Linked DNA regions of Struthio camelus. The protein of the gene in region 3 interacts with the protein of the main gene of each other region in a pairwise test. Links are inferred from orthologs where the notes say so. Each region holds a gene or a part of one and is shown on either strand. Other genes may lie near its edges.

Evidence for each region.
Region 1: the proteins of DDX6 (region 3) and SIPA1L2 interact in binary tests that used the Homo sapiens proteins (3 or more experiments, as listed by UniProt). The two-hybrid records come from large-scale screens. The link is inferred for Struthio camelus from reciprocal best matches to the Homo sapiens genes DDX6 and SIPA1L2.
Region 2: the proteins of DDX6 (region 3) and zinc finger and BTB domain-containing protein 8A interact in binary tests that used the Homo sapiens proteins (3 or more experiments, as listed by UniProt). The two-hybrid records come from large-scale screens. The link is inferred for Struthio camelus from reciprocal best matches to the Homo sapiens genes DDX6 and ZBTB8A.

What each region holds. Positions count from the first base shown.
Region 1 is NC_090944.1:90,413,799-90,419,738, forward strand, and holds the start of SIPA1L2 (signal-induced proliferation-associated 1-like protein 2), read left to right. Parts: upstream 1-2,452; 5' UTR 2,453-2,808; intron 2,809-5,940.
Region 2 is NC_090964.1:8,489,656-8,495,595, forward strand, and holds the start of zinc finger and BTB domain-containing protein 8A, read right to left. Parts: upstream 3,320-5,940; 5' UTR 3,091-3,319; intron 3,029-3,090; exon of another isoform or gene 2,847-3,028; intron 2,281-2,846; exon of another isoform or gene 2,269-2,280; 5' UTR 2,100-2,268; coding exon 2,059-2,099; intron 1,864-2,058; coding exon 896-1,863; intron 347-895; coding exon 177-346; intron 1-176. UniProt on the Homo sapiens protein: May be involved in transcriptional regulation.
Region 3 is NC_090963.1:134,229-140,168, forward strand, and holds the start of DDX6 (probable ATP-dependent RNA helicase DDX6), read right to left. Parts: upstream 3,804-5,940; 5' UTR 3,670-3,803; intron 2,655-3,669; exon of another isoform or gene 2,447-2,654; intron 1,489-2,446; 5' UTR 1,221-1,488; coding exon 1,021-1,220; intron 1-1,020.

The DNA.
Region 1 (5,940 bases), on a different chromosome or scaffold from region 3:
TCCAATAATGAATTTGTGGTGTACTGTGGGGTGCGCAGCACAGCCACACTGCGCAATGCCACGGGGAGAATTGAGCAATGAGGTTTGGCAGGGCCTACAGAAAACAGATCATCGGTCAAATTCTGCTCTGATATACAGTGTTGAAAGGGTAGTACTGGAGAACAGAATTTGATCAAGAATATTTTACATAGTTTGATATTGAGGCACATTTGTCAAGGGAGGGCTATTAATGACGGTGCGGAGAGATGCTTTCAAACCTGAGCAGAAGGATCAAAATGAATAACATGATATAGAGGGGGTGAGGGTAGGCTGAAAAGAGAGGGAAAAAAAAAAGCAAAAAGGAGAAGAAAAAACAGAAAGGACTAGGGAGAACTCGTTCTAAAAAAGATCCTGAGAGAGTCTGGAGAACAGTTTTGCTGGTGATCCAGTTTTCCTGCAGAACAAGAGATAGAGAGGAGAAAGTAAATGATAGCAAGGAGAGAAAATTCAGTAATTGTTGCGAAGAGTCTGAACTCCAGAGAGGCAGCTGGTTTTCAGAGTGAAAGAGACTCATTGAAATAAGCAGCCAGAGCACTACAGCAATGAGAAACTGAACAGTAGAGAAATTACAAACAAGTACAGGCTACCATAGTTTGTATGCTCTTGCATCTCTCTTAATCCCTTATCTTTCCATTGACATTTCCTGGGCTAGGTTTAGAGGAATGATCCTTCCAAGATGGACACTGTTTATAACATGGTCATAATGGAAAAATACATTGCTTCCTCCGCTTGCAGTATTTTTTTCTGAGGCTCCTTGTCAGGACAATAACAACATTATTCCTATGGTCTTGCTTTAGTACAGAGATAGTCTAGCTGTACTACTGATTTTAGTTAGAAATAATATATTCAAAAATGGTTTTTTAACCAAAACAGAAACACTCAAGATGGCATCTAAACACTAAGTAATGTATGTGATGTTTGCTAGTGCTTTTAGAATAAATGATGTCATTTGAATTTTGTTCTACTAGAAAGCCTGCATGAATCTGTGCTTAAATTTACAAATGTGGACTGTATTTCTTAATTTAAAATGCGTATTAAAGGAACAGTTAAGCATAGTAACCCAAAATTTGGCCTGCCCTGGATGTTTTGGATCTTTGGTGTGCATGTGGCCGTTCTTTTCCACTATATCCTTCTTCTCTGTTTCCAGCAAAGGGTAGGCAGTGAGAAGTTTACAAGGCAGCAGAATACTTGTAAATGTCAACATTCAACCTGTTCACCAGAGCTGAGCAAACTGGTACGACCAGAAAGTTACATACTCATGAGAGGTGGGCGCGGGCGGAGGGGGAAGCAAGCGAGAGAGGACAAAAAAAAAAAAAAAAGGATCATGGATAGTTTCTGTAGGGTTCAGTAGGAGTGGACTTTTAATTCCAGTGATGTTGCAGGCCTCGTAATTTGGGGTAGCAGATGGGATCAGCCACATCAGTCATGATAACATCTTTTATGTTGCAACCTCCGTGTAGAGGTGGCTCCTATGACTGCAGATGTGGCCCCTTGCAGAACTGGCCCACAGAGTAGAAACAGGGAAATTCAAATTTCAAAACCAGATTTTGTTTTGCTTACCAGAGCTCGTGGAGGAGGTGGAGGAAATGCGGATACCTCATCATGGCTTATTTGGCAGGCAAACTAAACATGTTCAGAGCTGTACAACACGGAGGGAAAGCACCCCTGTTCCTGACCGTATACAATTTGAAAGCAGCACGCAGGAGGCAGAGCACACAGGGCAATTCAGAGGACGCAGCTGCGGTGCATTTATTTACTGTAGGTCTCTCCGGTTCGAAGCGATAGGTAAGAACAACAGGCACTAACGGACGGGAACAAAGCCAAAGACTTGGCAGGGGTCGCTCCCCGCTGCGAGCCCCGCGGGTCTCCCACGGCAGTGCCAGTTGGGTACGATTTGATTTTTCAGGGCTTTCACTAGGGTAACTCAGAGCCTATCAGGGTGACACAGAGGCCCAGTCACCCTGTTACTCGAGGGGTCCCGAGGGAGGCAGCGGCCGTTGGCGCTAACGGCCGCGGGGCGGGGGGCCGGACCGGCGGCGTTGTCCAAGGTCTTGAAAGTGGGGACGGCGAGCCGTGCGGGGTAGGCGACGTGCCGCCGGGCTGCCCAGGGCACCGCGCCCACCCCACCTGTTGCTCGCTTCCATTCATCAGCCGGCAGCCCCGTCGCCGGGCCCCGCGGCGCACCGCGGAGCCCGGAGCCGGCGCGCAGACCCTTTCCGCGGGCGCCGCCGCCGGGCCGGCTGAAAGCCGTGGGGGGGGGGGGGGGGGGGGGAGGGAAGGAGGTGGTGGGCACGCTGACGGGGCGGGGCCTGGTGTTTTGGTTGCGCGACAGCGCGTGTGGCCAATGCGGAGTTCGCGTTCCCCCGGGGCCGAGCCGGCGGAGCCAATGGGAGGCGGGGCCGGGAGAAGGGGTGGGGCTGGAGGGTGTGTGAGGGATAGCGAGAGCGTGTGTGTCGGTGCCCCTCCCTCCGCCTCTCTTCCCTGTCCGGCGGCTGAGGCGCACTCGAGACCCAGCGCCGGGGAGAGCGCGAGGCGAGAGAGGGAGCGAGCGCGCCAGCCCTCAACGGGCGCTCCCCCCCTCCCCCCGTTCCGTTAACGGCTCCGCCGCCCCGCGGGCGGTTTGTCCCGCGGGAGGGGCGCGGAGCGCGGCCGCTCGCAGGGAGCAGCGCGGGGAGGGGTGAGGCGAGGAGCCTGCGAGAGTGTGTGTACGTGAAGAGGGGGGCGATGGGGATCCTGCGGCGAGAGCAGCCACAGCCGGGGCAGCAGCAGGTAAGGAGCGGCGCCTGCCACCGCGTCCGTGCCCCGCGGGAGGAGGGTGTGCGGGGCGGGGGGAGGGGGCGGGCGGGATGGGACGGGTGGCTGAAGGAGAGCGGAGCGTGCCGGTGCTTTCCTTCCCGAGAAGGGCTCGGGGGGTGGGGGGGAGGGATGGGGAGAGTCTGGGCAAGGGGAGCCGGTGGGAATGGGCCCTTCTCCTCTCCCTTCCCCTCTGGTACCTTTGAGGGACCCCCGGCTGTGGGGGAGGCAGTCCCGGCTTCTCCAGGGGCTCCGCGGGGTGCCCCAGCTGGGAGGACGGCAGGCTGCGGGGCGAGGAGGTGGGAAGCGGCGGGTCTGCCGCCCTGCGGAGCCGGGAGAGGAGCCCCCTCCCCCCCCCCCCCCCCGTTTGGGCCGCGTCTCCCCCCGCCCCAGCGCGCCGCTCCGCTCTCGCCGCCGCGCCGGAGCGCGATCGCTTTGCTCCCGCACGTCGCCTTTATAAATAGCGTTGTGACCTGCTAACTAACTAATACCCGCGAGGGTGGCTGTGGGGGCGGCACGGGTGTAAATCGGGTCGTCAGTCTCTTACAGACTGGCTCTGCGACCGGCTCTAGCAGCTCTGCGTGTAGTCACGTTGTTTCGGGCTTTGAAGCCCACTTAAGGAATAATGGCAATTACGGAGTAAGTTTGTCTTCGTAGGACATCTCTGGGCTGTGGCTTTGTTTTTTCTACCGTGAAAACGGTAGAATGGGGACCACCAACCATATAATATAGCAGAGAGAAAGATTCTTTTGCCCGTGTCGTTTTCTTAAGTGATTTTAATGCAATTTGTTTACTCTTTCTGAGACTCAGCTGTATTATCAGCTGTATTCTTTGCACTGTTGCCTTGTAACGCTTTGCTGTGTGCTCGGTGATCCATTCTCCGAACTTTGTGTTTGGTTTGTTCAATGATAGTCAGCTGAGATCAACTTTGCTTTAGATTTTCTTTTTTTCTGGTTACATAGCTCATCTGTGGCGCTACACAATGTTTTGCGTAGAAGGTACATGTCCGCATGAATGCGGAACTAGTGTTCAGCCTGCTCTTGACAAAGACTGCTCTGAAGTTGACAAATTTCAGATGTGACTATTAACATTCACAAAATAGGCCGGTAAGCTAGTTTAGTATTTGATGCTGGATTATTTTAACATGTTAGTAGTTAGAATATTTGCTTTCAGCCTTGCTTTTCTGGCAGAAACTAGTTTTATTACTTCAGATGCAGAAGACTTGCAAAGTTAAAGAGAATTGCTCGTATAAATTCTTCTAAACTCTTTTGTGCGCTATTTTCACTTCTAAAAGTTAACGCTAGATGGCTTGCTTATCTCAGACATCCAACAGAGGAGGAAGGCCTCTAATCCGTCTCTGCAGCCTAGCATTCTATATTGGTCTATTTTTTTTCTTCCCATGAATACTACACTACCTTCTTGATCAGTTCTGCGCCGATTAGACCACAGCACAATGTAAAGTTTGCTTGCTAGCTGACATAATTTGTTGTTTTGATCAGTGCTTCTTACTGTTTATAGATACCATTTTATATGGTACTGCCGATATCTAAAGCAAGTTTGTTTAGTCAGAAGATAGTTTTGAAAAATATTTAGGTTATTTTAAAGGAAGGCAGCTGGATGGGAAGGGATGTTTGTAAATGGAATGGAACAATAATTCAGTCTGTTATTACTTAGCTTGACAGGCTTGTCTTCCTTTAAAAAAGGACCACAGTGTATTAAAATATGCTTGTTCAGCTATTTTTTCCTAGATTCTTTACCTGACTATTTTAGAGTGATCAATTTTGGGCTTGGACTGAGAAACCTAATGCACTACAGCCTGCTGGATATAAGAATTTGCCTAGGCCTGATGCAATTTATTTTCTGTGTTTCTCCCGAACTATGAGTGGACTGAGCGGAATACAATATTTGCCCCTGTATTTGCTTCTTTTGATAGTATCTCTGGGATAATTGAATCTTAAATCTGATCTTTGAGATATCTTTTATTATTGATGCAAAAATGTTTAAATCATCAAGAGGTATAATGCGTTATGGATATTTAAACGTCACTTAGACTCCACAACAATTGATTTATAATTTATGTAGCTTGCAGATAAAGTAAGATCACAGAGAGGTCTCTGAATCTATTGTCTTTATTTTACATGCCCAGTGAGTTACTTTTCCAGGTCATGCAGCACTTAGGTGTAACAGGAAGGAATACTTACTTGTAAGGATGCCAGACTGTTTCACCAATCATATTGGATCAATTAAAGATCATATCATTCATATATACCAAGGGTATAATGTGAAACCTAGAATTAAACAAAACCTCAATTATTTGTAGCTGATATTTGCTTACTATGCAAATCAGAATATTTTTAGAGGTTTATATTCTCTTTTCCTGAAAGAAAGATAATCTAGTCTTTTTTGTAGACATTTAATGATCCACACCATTCCTTAAGCACGTTGTGAAATACACTTGCAAATGTAGAGAGCTAAATGAGAAATTAAGCAAGCCAGCAGTCAAAGCAACCAAAACCTTCCATTTCTTCTGCTGTCTGATGACCTTTACAAGTGAACTGAGGCAGTTCTTTTTTTTTTTTTTTTTTTTTTCACTTTCAGCTTCATATTGGATGTATTAGTCAAGCGTTGCACCTAGGATTTTTATGTGCAGATCAGCAGTTCTACCTGCAGGAGAAAGTAAATATTTTCTCCTTGCCTTGACTAGGATTAAAATTATATTTAGATAGCTGAATATTAAAGTATTTTCAGTAGATTCATAGCTTTTACAGATGAGTGATCTAGTTTGCTAATAATGAGTGAGAAATGCTATATTATTATTAAAATATAAGATCCAAGTTACAGATAGTGATTTGTGGAAAGAGGGTGGGGCACTGGGTTATCTAATTTCTCATGTTAGTCATCCAAGATTGCCAACAGTAGCTGTGTTGACAGTTTGAAATGGAATCACGTTTTGATGAATGTACCTTTCTCTCTGAATGTAGTTTTTGCTTTGCAGTTTGAAATGTTTTATTGCCCTATTATATTTATGCTCAGACTTGACCGGTGATTGGGCAAGCTGGGTTTGAATCAGTGAACGAAAGAGGAGATGGCTGTGTGTGTTTTATATGT
Region 2 (5,940 bases), on a different chromosome or scaffold from region 3:
ATTTTGTATTACCTCTTAAGGTAGCCAGTATATCAACCAGATCTAGAATAACTGTAAACGTATCAGGAGAAAATGCCTGGAAAGTAGCTGTTGTTGGCTGACTAGTCTCCTTTAATTGTACTAACACAGTTAGATTTACACATTAAACAAATCATGCAGTTACTAAAAATACATACTGTTCGAAAATGGCTACTTAGGTGATCTAGCCTGCTAAATCTTTTTCCACATGCCTCACAAGGGTAAGGGCGCTCTCCTGTATGACAGCGAAGGTGACGCTTTAAGTCTGCTTTTCTTTTCACCACATGTGTACAGAATGGGCACTTGAACCTCATCCTGGGCAGATCATCTGTGAGAAAATAATTTAAGACAAACTTTATAAGTCATAACAAGTCTAGTCATGTAATATTCTAGGAAAAGGTTATTCTAGTTATGAAAAGCAACACGAGCAAAATGGCAAGCCATTTTTATTTTTAAAAAATATTATTATAGGTCTTTTCAAATACAAAGATCTTGTATTTTCCTGTTAATTACACAGGAGCGCAATAAAAAAAATGGAGCGGTCCATTAGCTATTTTAAAATGGATTTTAAAAATCCAAAAAAACTAATGACTTATATTTGCAGGATCAAGCTGTGGAGACGCTAAAGGTTATGCATTCTGAAAGGCTAGTTTTAATAAACTAATACAGCTATCAAGACAAATTTAAGACAGACATTTCTGTCATTCATAATTATTAAAAAATAAGAGTTAAACTTTCCAAAGTTACATTTCTGGGCAATACAGACCAACTTTTGTCAATATACACTTTCTTAGCAATGTATATTTTCTTACTGACAGAACAGACGATTAACAGATGATTATGTACTTATACTTAGAGCATTAAAACCAACTCTTACCTTCAGCCCAGCTTCCCATGACACCTAGAATCGAGGGCATGCTCGTATACTGCTCGTCTGCTTTTGAAGACTTGGATTTGCCAGAAGAACGAGGTGATTCATGCTCTTGCTGTGATACAGCTAAACTCCTTGGTATCACATCAGACCCTTGACCGTACTGGTATCCCACGTGAGGAGATTCAACTTCTGTTTCAATCTGAACTTGCTCCTCAGATTGAGTAACGTGGCCAGCAGGCTCAGAAGCCCTGTCCTCAAGTTTGCTTGATTTATAGTGAGGAATGTCAGAAGATTGCTGCAGTCCTAGGTGCCTGGTTTTTTTAATGGAATCCTGCCTTTGGTCATGCTTGGACAGCTGTTGCTGTGCATTTCTTTGAGAAGTTGGATAGTAGTTGAAATTGCTCCAAGCACTTCCACCCATCATACATGTCCCTTGATCCGGATTTAAGTGAGAATGTGGGGGGCTGCTTTCTGCCCTCCAGCCAGCACCATATAAGCAGGAGCGGTCCACGCCATTTGAATTTACATCTTTGTCCGAAAGACTGAAGTAGCGGTCCTTTTCCTTCTCACTGATGTCCAGAGATGACTTAATGAATGTCTTACACACGCTGATAACATCGGTCATCTGAAGATAGCTAGCCGCTGACATGACTTCAATGACGTTCTGACCAGTAAGGGACAGTTTGCCTGAATACACAAAATCTAGAATAACTGTAAACGTATCAGGAGAAAATGCCTGGAAAGTAGCTGTTGTTGGCTGACTAGTCTCCTTTGAACTCTGTGAAAGGAGCATTTTGAAATAGCCACTGCTGGCAAACAGCACATTTCGATGTGCTTTGAAGACCTTTCCCTCAACCAAGATATTGCAGTCACAGAATAAGTCCTGCCTGCGCTGCTCATTTAGTTGTTGCAGGAGGTGAAACTGGTGGGAAGAAATCTCCATTCCAGAAAAGGTGAAATGAAGTGTTGCTCTAAAATAAAAACATAATTAAAGTCTTGAGTTCAGCATCCTACAACTCAGCCAAAGATACTGCACCAGTTTTACAGATATCTTTTAAAATAATCCTTCTTAAAATATATGTTTTTAAATAACAATATGCATAACCATACATTCTATTTTGAAAAGAAAAGACTGCAAAAATAGAAAAAGCCACATAAACCCATACACGTTATTTGGCAGAGATGCGTGTGCTACAGCTAGGAGCATCTACTTCCTAAGGATGTGTGCAACTCGCTGGAAGCTGTACAACCTTCAGACAGTCAGCAACAAGACGACGAGCCCTTCAGCAGTTGCGAGTGTCTCGGTTGAAGAGTGTGTCCATGCCTTGAGTTGACGTTATCACATCGCCCTGGTCCGGCTGGGCTCATATCCTCGCCTCCGAAGGGACCAGAAATGGGTAGTCAGCGGCGGAGCCCTCAGCAGCCGCAGCCCTCCCGGCCCGGGCTCCCCCAGCATTGGTAGCGGTCGCCGTCACTCACCCGCCCGCCCGGCCGAATTGGTCGCTCGACCCTCGGGAGCCCGGGACGCCCGGCGGCGCAAGGCCCGCCCGCCAAGGCGCCTCGGCACCGCCTGGCTGCGCGGGCTGCCGCCCCCGGTCCTGCTGCCGCCGCCGCCGCTTGCCGCGGGGAGCGCAGCGTCAGCGCCCGCCAGGGCTCCGGGCGGCTGCGCGCGCCCACCGGGACACCGCGCCAGGCGCGCCGGGGCCGCAGCCGGAGCGACCGCGGAGCCGCTCGCGTTGCCGGAGCCGCGGTTCCCGCTCCCCCGGCCCCGCGGGGGCTCCGCCGCGCGGCGGCAGCCCGGCGCCTGGCGCCCGGCGTGGCCCCAGCAGCTCCTGCCGCCGCTGCCCGCCGCCTCCGCCGCGCCGGCAGCGCCCTGCCCGCCCCCTGCCGCGGCCCCTCTCGCCCCACACCCGCTGCCCAGCTCCCGCTCCCGCGCAGCCCTTTGTTGCCGTGCCTGGCTCCTCGCAGCCGCGCCCGGGGCTGCAAATGGCGCCCGCTTAGGTCTCTCCCAGCGCTGTGCAGCCCGGGTAACGAGCGGCTCCGAGCGGCGGCGGGGAGCGCGCCGGCCGCCCAGCGGGGACTGCGGAGCCGAGGGACGTCCCTCGCCGCCCCTCGCAGCAGGCTCGCTCTGGGGCCCTTTCCGCCCCCAAATCCCAACGCCCTGTCTGGCCTGCCGGCGTGCGAGAGCCGCCACTTACCGGCTGGGTTCTGCGGGTGGCTGCTGCCGCCGCCGCTGCCGCTTCGCCGAGAGGAGCAGGCGGTGGATGCGGGATCCCCGGCCCCCGCGTCGGGGCTCTTTGCGGTTTAAGGCAATGTGTTGGTCCCGCAGCCCCAAACCCTGGAAGCCCGAACGTGAGAGAAACAAAAGGTATTTGCTGACGTGGGCGTTGGACAGAGACGCCCGAGGGCTGGGGACACAATTAAAGGGGCAACGCACCGATTGCAGGCACAGCCCAGCAGCTTCCTCTGCCTGATCGCCCTGCAGTCTGGGCTGCTTCCCTCCTCTCACACCCACATGCTACCCAAGAGGGGATGTGATGCCCTAGATGTTTCCTTCTCACACCTTTATCTATAGCAGGGGCCTTGATGACCCAAATCCTTCCTTCATATGCCTGCGGCTTCCTCAAGAGGAGATGTAGTGTTCCTCTGTTTTTGCATGTCTCCGTTATCTTCTGAAGAAACCATAATATCTGAAATCCTTCCACCCAAGCCTCTCACCTTGTCTCACTTGAAGTTTGGAATCTTTCTCTTTCCTGTTCTTACCACCAGGGTATTTTCTGTGCTCTGACACCCCAGATATTTCTCATAAATACTTCTTCTCCCATGGGAGCCGTTCTGCCTTAACCATATCCTTTGTGTCCTTTTTAGCCCTCCCTTCCATAAACTTAAGACATTCCATCTTGAAACAATTTAAGTTCCTTTTCCCCACTGTGGGGAAAAGGGAAAGTTATCTACAGACTCTTTCCTCTCATAGTCAAAAACATTCTCTCAGGATATCCTATAAATTTAGTCATACCCAATTTATATCCATATATGTTGTAACAATATTTATTGTCAACTTAATTCACCCTTTTTAATAACCTTCCCTCGTTTTGTGGATTCCATCTCCTTTCAAACTTTAATATGCAGGCCGCATTCTTAAATCTTTCATAAGACCTGCCAGTTTAAATTAATCATTCTTGAACATAAAAGTGATCAGAGCTTGAACAGTATTTGACATGACACTGTTCAGGGCCCTGGACAATGATATTAATTCTCCGACAACTGAAAACATTTGAATCTGCTGTATCCTACAGCTGACCAGCCTTTTCCAGCCATGTCACAATACTACTTCATAATCATCGTGTGATCAGTGGATACATCTCTCTAGTCTTCGGTTGTGTCCAGTAGCTTGTAATATGTATTCTTCTATCTAAAGTCATACTTTTTGCATTTTGTACTGTTAAATTTTCCACATTTCTGTCAGTGCAGTCCAAAAAGACTTTAATCTGTAAATTCCTGTAAATTCCATTTTGCGTGGTATTGACAATTCCTTAGAATTTGTATCATCTGCAAATGTCATAAGATTGTATTGTACTTTTACATCAAAGTCTAAATAATGTATTAGCTGAACTGATTCCAAAGCTGGTCCAGGGGACCATTAGTAACTCTCTTCCTCCTCATCACTCCCCTTTCAGGGTAACTCAGCATAACCCCAGTTCCCAACTTCTTCCAGTTCTTACATTATTCAGTGGTGCATACCTGCACGTTGAATACTCTGTACAGTCCAGGTGTCACTCATCTCAAAGAGGATACACAGGAGCCTGAAAAGGGAAAGAGAAATGATAAAAGGTCTGGAACAGCTTTGTGCAAATGTCTATGCTGTGTGGAATCTCCAAACCAGAAAAAAATTGAGGCAGATGAGGTAAGATGAAAGTCTATAAAATCACAAGTGGTTCCTCAGATAACTTGTAGTTAGACACTGGAATTTCTTGCCACAGGCTGTTGTGGACACGAAAAGTTGGAGTGTTATGTGGGATACTGGACCAGCTCATGAGAGAGACCTGATATTTGCTCACAGAAATGTCCTGTATCTCAGGAAATCCCCGAGTCATAAACCTCCTACAGTTAAAAGTCAGGTAAAAGTATTGCTGTATGCTTGCCATATTCTTCCACAGAGCAACTGCTTTTGACTGCTATTGTAAACAGGATAGTGGGTTAGATGAGCTGGTACAGCTGTCCTTTGGTTAATTCTCATACACTGCTATCCCTGAATTTACAGAACCACTGGAAACTGGCTACTAGCTACTACTAACTTGCAATTAGCTGTGCTTATTCTTTCTAAATTGTGCTCAGTCCGGTGGAGTTTGTCAGTTCCACTGTCGGTTCCCTTTCCTCTCCCTCAGTCTCGGCAAAGCAAGCAGGATAGGTTTTACTTACATCTCAGATACTGTTGTGCCCTGTCCCAGTTCTTAGGCAATATTCTTATCATTGCTGTCATACATATTAAAATCTTTTTAGAAAATAAGGCAAAATGTTCTCATGGTATTTGGTCTATGCTTTGTTAGTCTTAAACGTCATCCATCCTAGTTGTCAGATGGCTATGGGGCTGGCATTATCTAACTGATTTCTCCCAAAGAAGCAAAAGGAATTTGGACAAGAAAGGAAAGAGGCTGTAGCCATAAGCAAACAGACAGAAAAAGGAAAGACAGGACAAAACAATCTTTCACATTTTATTCATACTGCGTTCACTCATAACGCATACGATATTCCTTTCTGCAAGCCACAGAAGACCTTATCATGTCATGCCTGAAAGTTGTGGACATGTCGTGTGTGCATTGGCCTCTTCTCATGCCAACTTTATAATTTTTCAGCCTTGGATGAAGTTTATTTGTATCCCAGTAAATACTACATACAAACTACTGTGAGATTTGTTTAGTATGTGCTTTGCTTTTCTCCAGTGTGCCTTTGCAGACATGTTGTATTTGCGTTTGCTTTAGTCTGTGGCAGCAGATGTTTCTTGTCAAGGCTGGAGAATACCAGAATCAAACACCATGTCTTTGGTCATG
Region 3 (5,940 bases):
CAAAAGTCACTGCACACACAGTAATGCACAGAAGAGAACAAGGTCTTTTCTTCCTCACTGCCAGTTGCAAATGAACTTTGATTAGTTTAACCCACTAGTTTGTGCTCAGATCAACTCACTTTATGAAAAAACAGAAGCAAATCAAGCAAACTTTACAAATCAGAATAGTCCACTATGTGCTCTATTATTACATCCAGCATTTTCTTCACAAATAACTGATAACAAAATACCAGATTGTTTTTTATTCTGGGTAACCATTGGGGGGGGGGGGGAAGAGTCCCACGTTGCTGTACTGCGTGAATCTTCCAAAACCATGAGAATTTCCAACCAGTATATTCATGTTTTATTAGCATAGTTCCAAAAACAGTTTGATGGGAGGACAGATAAAAGCAATGTAGAATATCATAATGGAACCATAGTAGTTTGACTCGGATTCTGACTAATGAAAAACCGTATAGTGTTCCATTGCGGAGAGTGCACACTACTGTTTAATTCACAGAACTTAATGGGAAAAGTGACTTGCTTAAGATGAATGAGAAAAGATAACTGATTTTAAAGAATTTCTCACCATGACAGACATCTACAACAAATAAATGAAAACCACACACAACTAGGCTAAGGCTACGTGGTACTTCCTCCTCTGTCTTAAATCTCAATTCAGTTCCTTCACGCTCCCCAATTCCCTTCTCCTACTGCTTGCAACAAGCAAAGGAAACAGGATGATGCTGCTCAGTCTAGTGCTACTTTTGTCAAGTGACTATATGCTTTGAAAAACAAAGTACCAAATTCAATTTTCACAACTACTAAATTACTAAAGACCACTGTCAGAGAGACGCTCACACCTGAAAATCCTTTCTTTTTTTAAATGCATGTCACAGGACACCTCTGTCACCAATATCATAAAACAATAGAATAAAAAACTTTTTAAATACAAGAAACCAATTACACTTTCCCATGCATGAAATTTAAATGTTATTTTTACGTCAGCTAACGTTATTTAGTATTTACATGAATACTTACTTAATAGTGGTGGTCATACTCTGTGCTTGCTGTTGAGTGCCGTTATTGATTGTGTTGGCATTTTTCAGCTGGTTCATCTGTTGCTGAGTCTGTGTGCCTCCACCTCCTGGGCCCCCGCTGGGTTTAACAGGGCCTCTCAACTGCCCATTCTGACTGGATAGACCCATTATAACAGGGTTCTCTGTTCTGGCCGTGCTCATGTTTTTATTTTTAAAGATGTCTTTTTAGACTTCAAAACTTTGAAAGTCAGTACAGAAACTGTAATAACAGTTTATTAGACTCTCCAAAATGAAGAGATAAATAAGTCTTGCTCAATATATGAGTCCTTTATTGCAATGCAGGCAAGCACCTGTAAGTCACTCAAAAGTAAAGCAGTAACTTGCTCTGATGCACTGTGGATCAACTTTTTTTTTTTTAAAAAAAGCCCTCTAACAAAGTTGAGTTATATCCAAATTCACTTGCTTCAATCTGAAAAAGAAGCAGATGACAACAATTAATATGTGGATTTCTTGCCTATGGAATTTGCATCTGTTTATATTGTAAAACTGCCTGCAATAACATGCATTACCTAAAAATCACTTCTTCTCAGGCAGCATGCAACACAAAGTACCTGCTTTTCTATTTCCTCGGTTTAAGTACCCCAAACACACCAAACTGTTTTCCCTTGCTATAAAGCTGAGTGCAACACTGTAGGTCACCGGAGATCATTTTGTGAACTTTCAGCAGCCTTCCTGGGATTAATCACTTGAAAAATACTACCTAGCCCCCTTGTAAAGTAGGCATGAATTATATCAGCTGCTTTGCCTATCCTTGAAATGCACCCACCTTTGGGACACAGCAGAGCAGCCATAAAACACTAAGCAACAACATCACACAGAAGTTTATGACAGAAAGTAAGACCACAATATCGAATGGACATTATAGGCAGAATTCAAAAGACCCTTAAGATACTCTGACTTGTCCTTTCAACTAGAAATAGGAATGATGACATACCATCTTAAAAACCCAACCAACTACAGGAGTGACTTGGAAGTTTTCCCTCATCCACCCCCAAAAATTAGTTTAGTCAGCTTACTTTAAACCAATACCCAACTTAAACATTTATAAATCATTCAGAAGAGCAAAACTTATGACATCATCAAGCTGAACTGACAGCAGCTTCCTGCTTTGTTAAGTCTAAATGACTGCACCTAAACTGTTCTTTCATCTCTAGTCTGAAGCAATGAATAAACACATGTACACTAGGTACGCAGCTTCCTGCTTGTGTGCTGCATGACGTTACATTCCAGCTGTCACTAACAATCCATACCGCGCTCAAAAGATAACATTCGAATGCGTAACTTGACAGTGACGTCATACTTAACAAAAGAGTCGACAAAAACATATGCAGATAATATAAAGCTTGTATCTTACATATAGCACGTACATGGCCAGAGTTGAAAAACTCTTCTTATGATGGTAATAGGGAGCCAAGACACTCCCTAGTCTAAAACTTTTTTAGAGGAACAGAAAGTAGGCTTGCAGGTAACATTTCTCATTGCAAAGCATCTGCATCTTGGGACAATACAAAGGGAAAACCAGCAGGCTGATGATTGCCAAGTTCAACGTCCAAAAAAATGCATACTCCTCAGCGACTAAAACACAGATTTAAAACAGATACTGGCATCTGAAGTTTAAAGTGACATAAATACTATACTTAGGAAAGCAGATAGAAACGGAATTCAAACTCTTCTCGAATTGTTCAGCTGTTTCCCAGCGTATTGATTATAGCTTCATAGCATAACTTCAAGCTTATTAGAATTAAGATTATTTCCTAGTTAGTTTCCTGGCTAGAAGCACGGTTTAAACATCTTCTTTGAAAAGACAGCCCCCCTTAACCTTACTTTCACACCCAAACGGACGAGTCACCTAAAAACTCCGGATACACCAACAAGAGTTCCTCCAATGTTTTTATTAAAGGGAGTTCTAGTCCTCTAGCCTCCCTCGTTCGTGCTCATCCTTTGAAAGGCAGCACACAACCTCCCCAGGCCCGGCACACCTCCACGTCCAAAACAAGCAGCGCCACCATTTCACAAACTGGCGGTCCGACCGCAAAGAGGCCCCCGCACCCCGGGCTTCCCCTGCCGAGGCAGCCCACGTAGGCAGGCGCGGCAGCCGCCCCCCGGCCGCTCCCTCCTCCGCCGGCAGCAGATACGACACACCGCTCCGCGGCCCAGCCGGGCGGCACAAAGCGGCCGCCCAGCCGGCCCCGCCGCGGGAACCCCCGCGGCGCCCATTGTTGCCGCCACCCCGGGCCAGGCCGCAGCGCGGCGTCGCCCCGGGCCCGGCGGCGGGGCCGCGCCGCCCGCGCAACGCAGCTGCGCCATACCGGCACCTCCCGCCCGCGAACAATGGAGAAGCGCCCGCTCGCCCGCGGCCCCGCCGCTCGGGCCGGCAGCGAGCGCCGCGGCCGCCGCCGCGCCGCCGCCGCCTCCCGCACCGCCCCGGCCGCAGCCGCCCGGCCCGCGGCCCCTCAGCGCCGCCAGGCCCGGGCCAGGCCCCGCCGCTCCCGCGACGCGGCGCAGGCCGCGAGGCTCGGCCGGGCGGCGGCGGCCTCCATTGCGCTCCCCGCGGCCCCGCGCCCGCCCCGGCGCCCTGGCCCGTCCTCACCGCCACCAGCCGCGCTCCCCCCTCGCTCAGGTATAAAATCCTCTCGCTCCCCCTTGGTGCCTTGTTATGGCGACTCGACGCTCCAAGATGGCGGCTTCCTCCTTCCTCCCGTGCGCCCTCCCCCTCCCGGCAGGGCAGGCCAGGCCCCGCCCCGCCCCGCACGCGCGGACGCACGCACGCAGGCACGCGCCGCGCCGCGCCGCGCCCCGCCCCTGCCGTGCGTCAGCGCGGGGCGGGGCCGGGGCGAGGGGGCGGGGCCCCGGCCTGCCGTTGCGGCTGGCGCTGGGGGTGCCTCCTGGGCACCGCCGCCTTCCCTTCGGCCCTCGCGGCCCCGGCCCCGGCCCCCCCTTGGCTGCCTCCCGCTGCCCGCCCGCCGCGCTGGGCAGCAGCTCTCGGCCCGGCGGTCCGCGCGGCCGGCGCTGCTGCGGCTCGCAGAGGCGCCCAGCTCCTCCCGAAGGAGCTGCGCCCTGTTCTCCTCCAGGGACGGCCCCCGGCTTTCACTCCTTATGAAGAAGGTCCAAAGCCGGGCTGAGCTCAAAACTCCTTCCTTCGCGACTCCATCCCTAGCTTCCTTCTTTCAGCACCTCTTGCCGCCCCCCGTTTTCCTCTCCTTTAGTGAGCTCTGCACCTGCTTTACCATCCTGAACTAGGAACTTTCCCTATGGCTCTGTATCCGCGGTTCGGCCGACATCCAGAGAGACCTGATTCACTGCGCTGCCGTTATCTGCGAAGCCATCTGCCTTGCAAGAAAAAGGAAGTAGGAGGCGAGCGTGTTACGATCTACCTTTGCTAAGCGTGGGTCGCATTTTATACTGCGTTCATTCAGTTCCAGGCCCTCTGATGTGCAAAACACGCGCTGAGCCCTGCGCGTTATTTAGATCAGAGAGACAGGTCTGCCGTGGACCGGATCACGTTCCCTCCCTTCTCATTTGTTATTCTCGACTGACATGGCAGCGCTCCTGCACTGAGAGATACGCACAGATCATTGCTGCTAGACCTGCAATTTCATGCTCCAGTTCTTTTAGTGTTCTGGGATGGAGATTATACAGTCACTGTCCGTGTACACTTGGAGCGATCTGCATTTTGCTTCCCCCTCAGATGTGGCAATTTCCATTTCCACATCCTCATTTCTCTTGAGCCATCCTGCCTTTTTGCCTGTTCTTTTCACTAACAAACACAAAATATTAATTCAGTCCTGGGACACTTCCAGAGATATTAAATTTCCAAAAAGTCTAAAGGCATTGGAGGGTGGGGTGGACAACAGAGAAACACACATACACAATGCAAATACATGTATTGCATTGGCGATGAAGATGCACTTGCACCTGAAGCTACATAAGTATTTTTGCCTATTTACATATCCCTAAAATAGGGAGGAGGGGAAAACATAACACCGAAAACAGAAACCACCAGCCTTGATGACTTCTCTGGCTAAGAAGCAGAATCTATCTCAGACCTAATATCAGAGCTACCAAAAAAATGTATTTCCTAATAAAAAGCCTGGAAACTGAACATGACTTCACTGTGTAGTTATTATAACAGAGTTAACATGAGCAAAACATTAAGGATAGGAGACTGACCCACAGCATGCAGGAGCTAGAATCACCTAATATTACACGTTTGAGATAGTTATTTCCTTTCAATATATCTATTATCAGTACAAGGATTTTGAAGAATTGAAGCACAGTATTAATGTGCCTTCTGTTCCAAGCAGCACAAGAGAGAAAGACAGTTGTCGAACCTTTCAGATGCCAGGGGCATGAAAAAGTTGTACCTCACTTCTTTCTTACTGTGCCAGCTGGCTGCCTTTCGGCCTAATTATTGCAGAGGTACTAGCTGGGACTGTCTTTGTGAAGCCGTTCACAGCATCAGGGACTGTACAGTCCGTTCTGTACAGGACCAGTACTGACTTCTCCAGTGCCTGCTTGGTTCTCAGACCCTGCTGTGGAGAGAGCAGTGTTTCATTTTAACTGTCGGTAGGGCTAAGCATCTTACTTCACAATGAGATTTACAGGACATAGTATGCAGTAACCTTAGGAGAAAGAATAAATGACAACATAAATACCAGATTAGCAAATACGAGTAACATCTGTGGGCAGCACATGGTTTGCTTAGTTAGGATAACAGCAAACAGGATGACTTGAAAACATTGGAAGTGAGAAGATTCAGCAGTGAGAAGTGAGCTGGGTTTCTCAAGCATAGCTTAGGAAGCCAATATAATGTCAAACCAGTCAGTAGAAATGTTTGTCAGTTATGCACAGTAGGGCAATT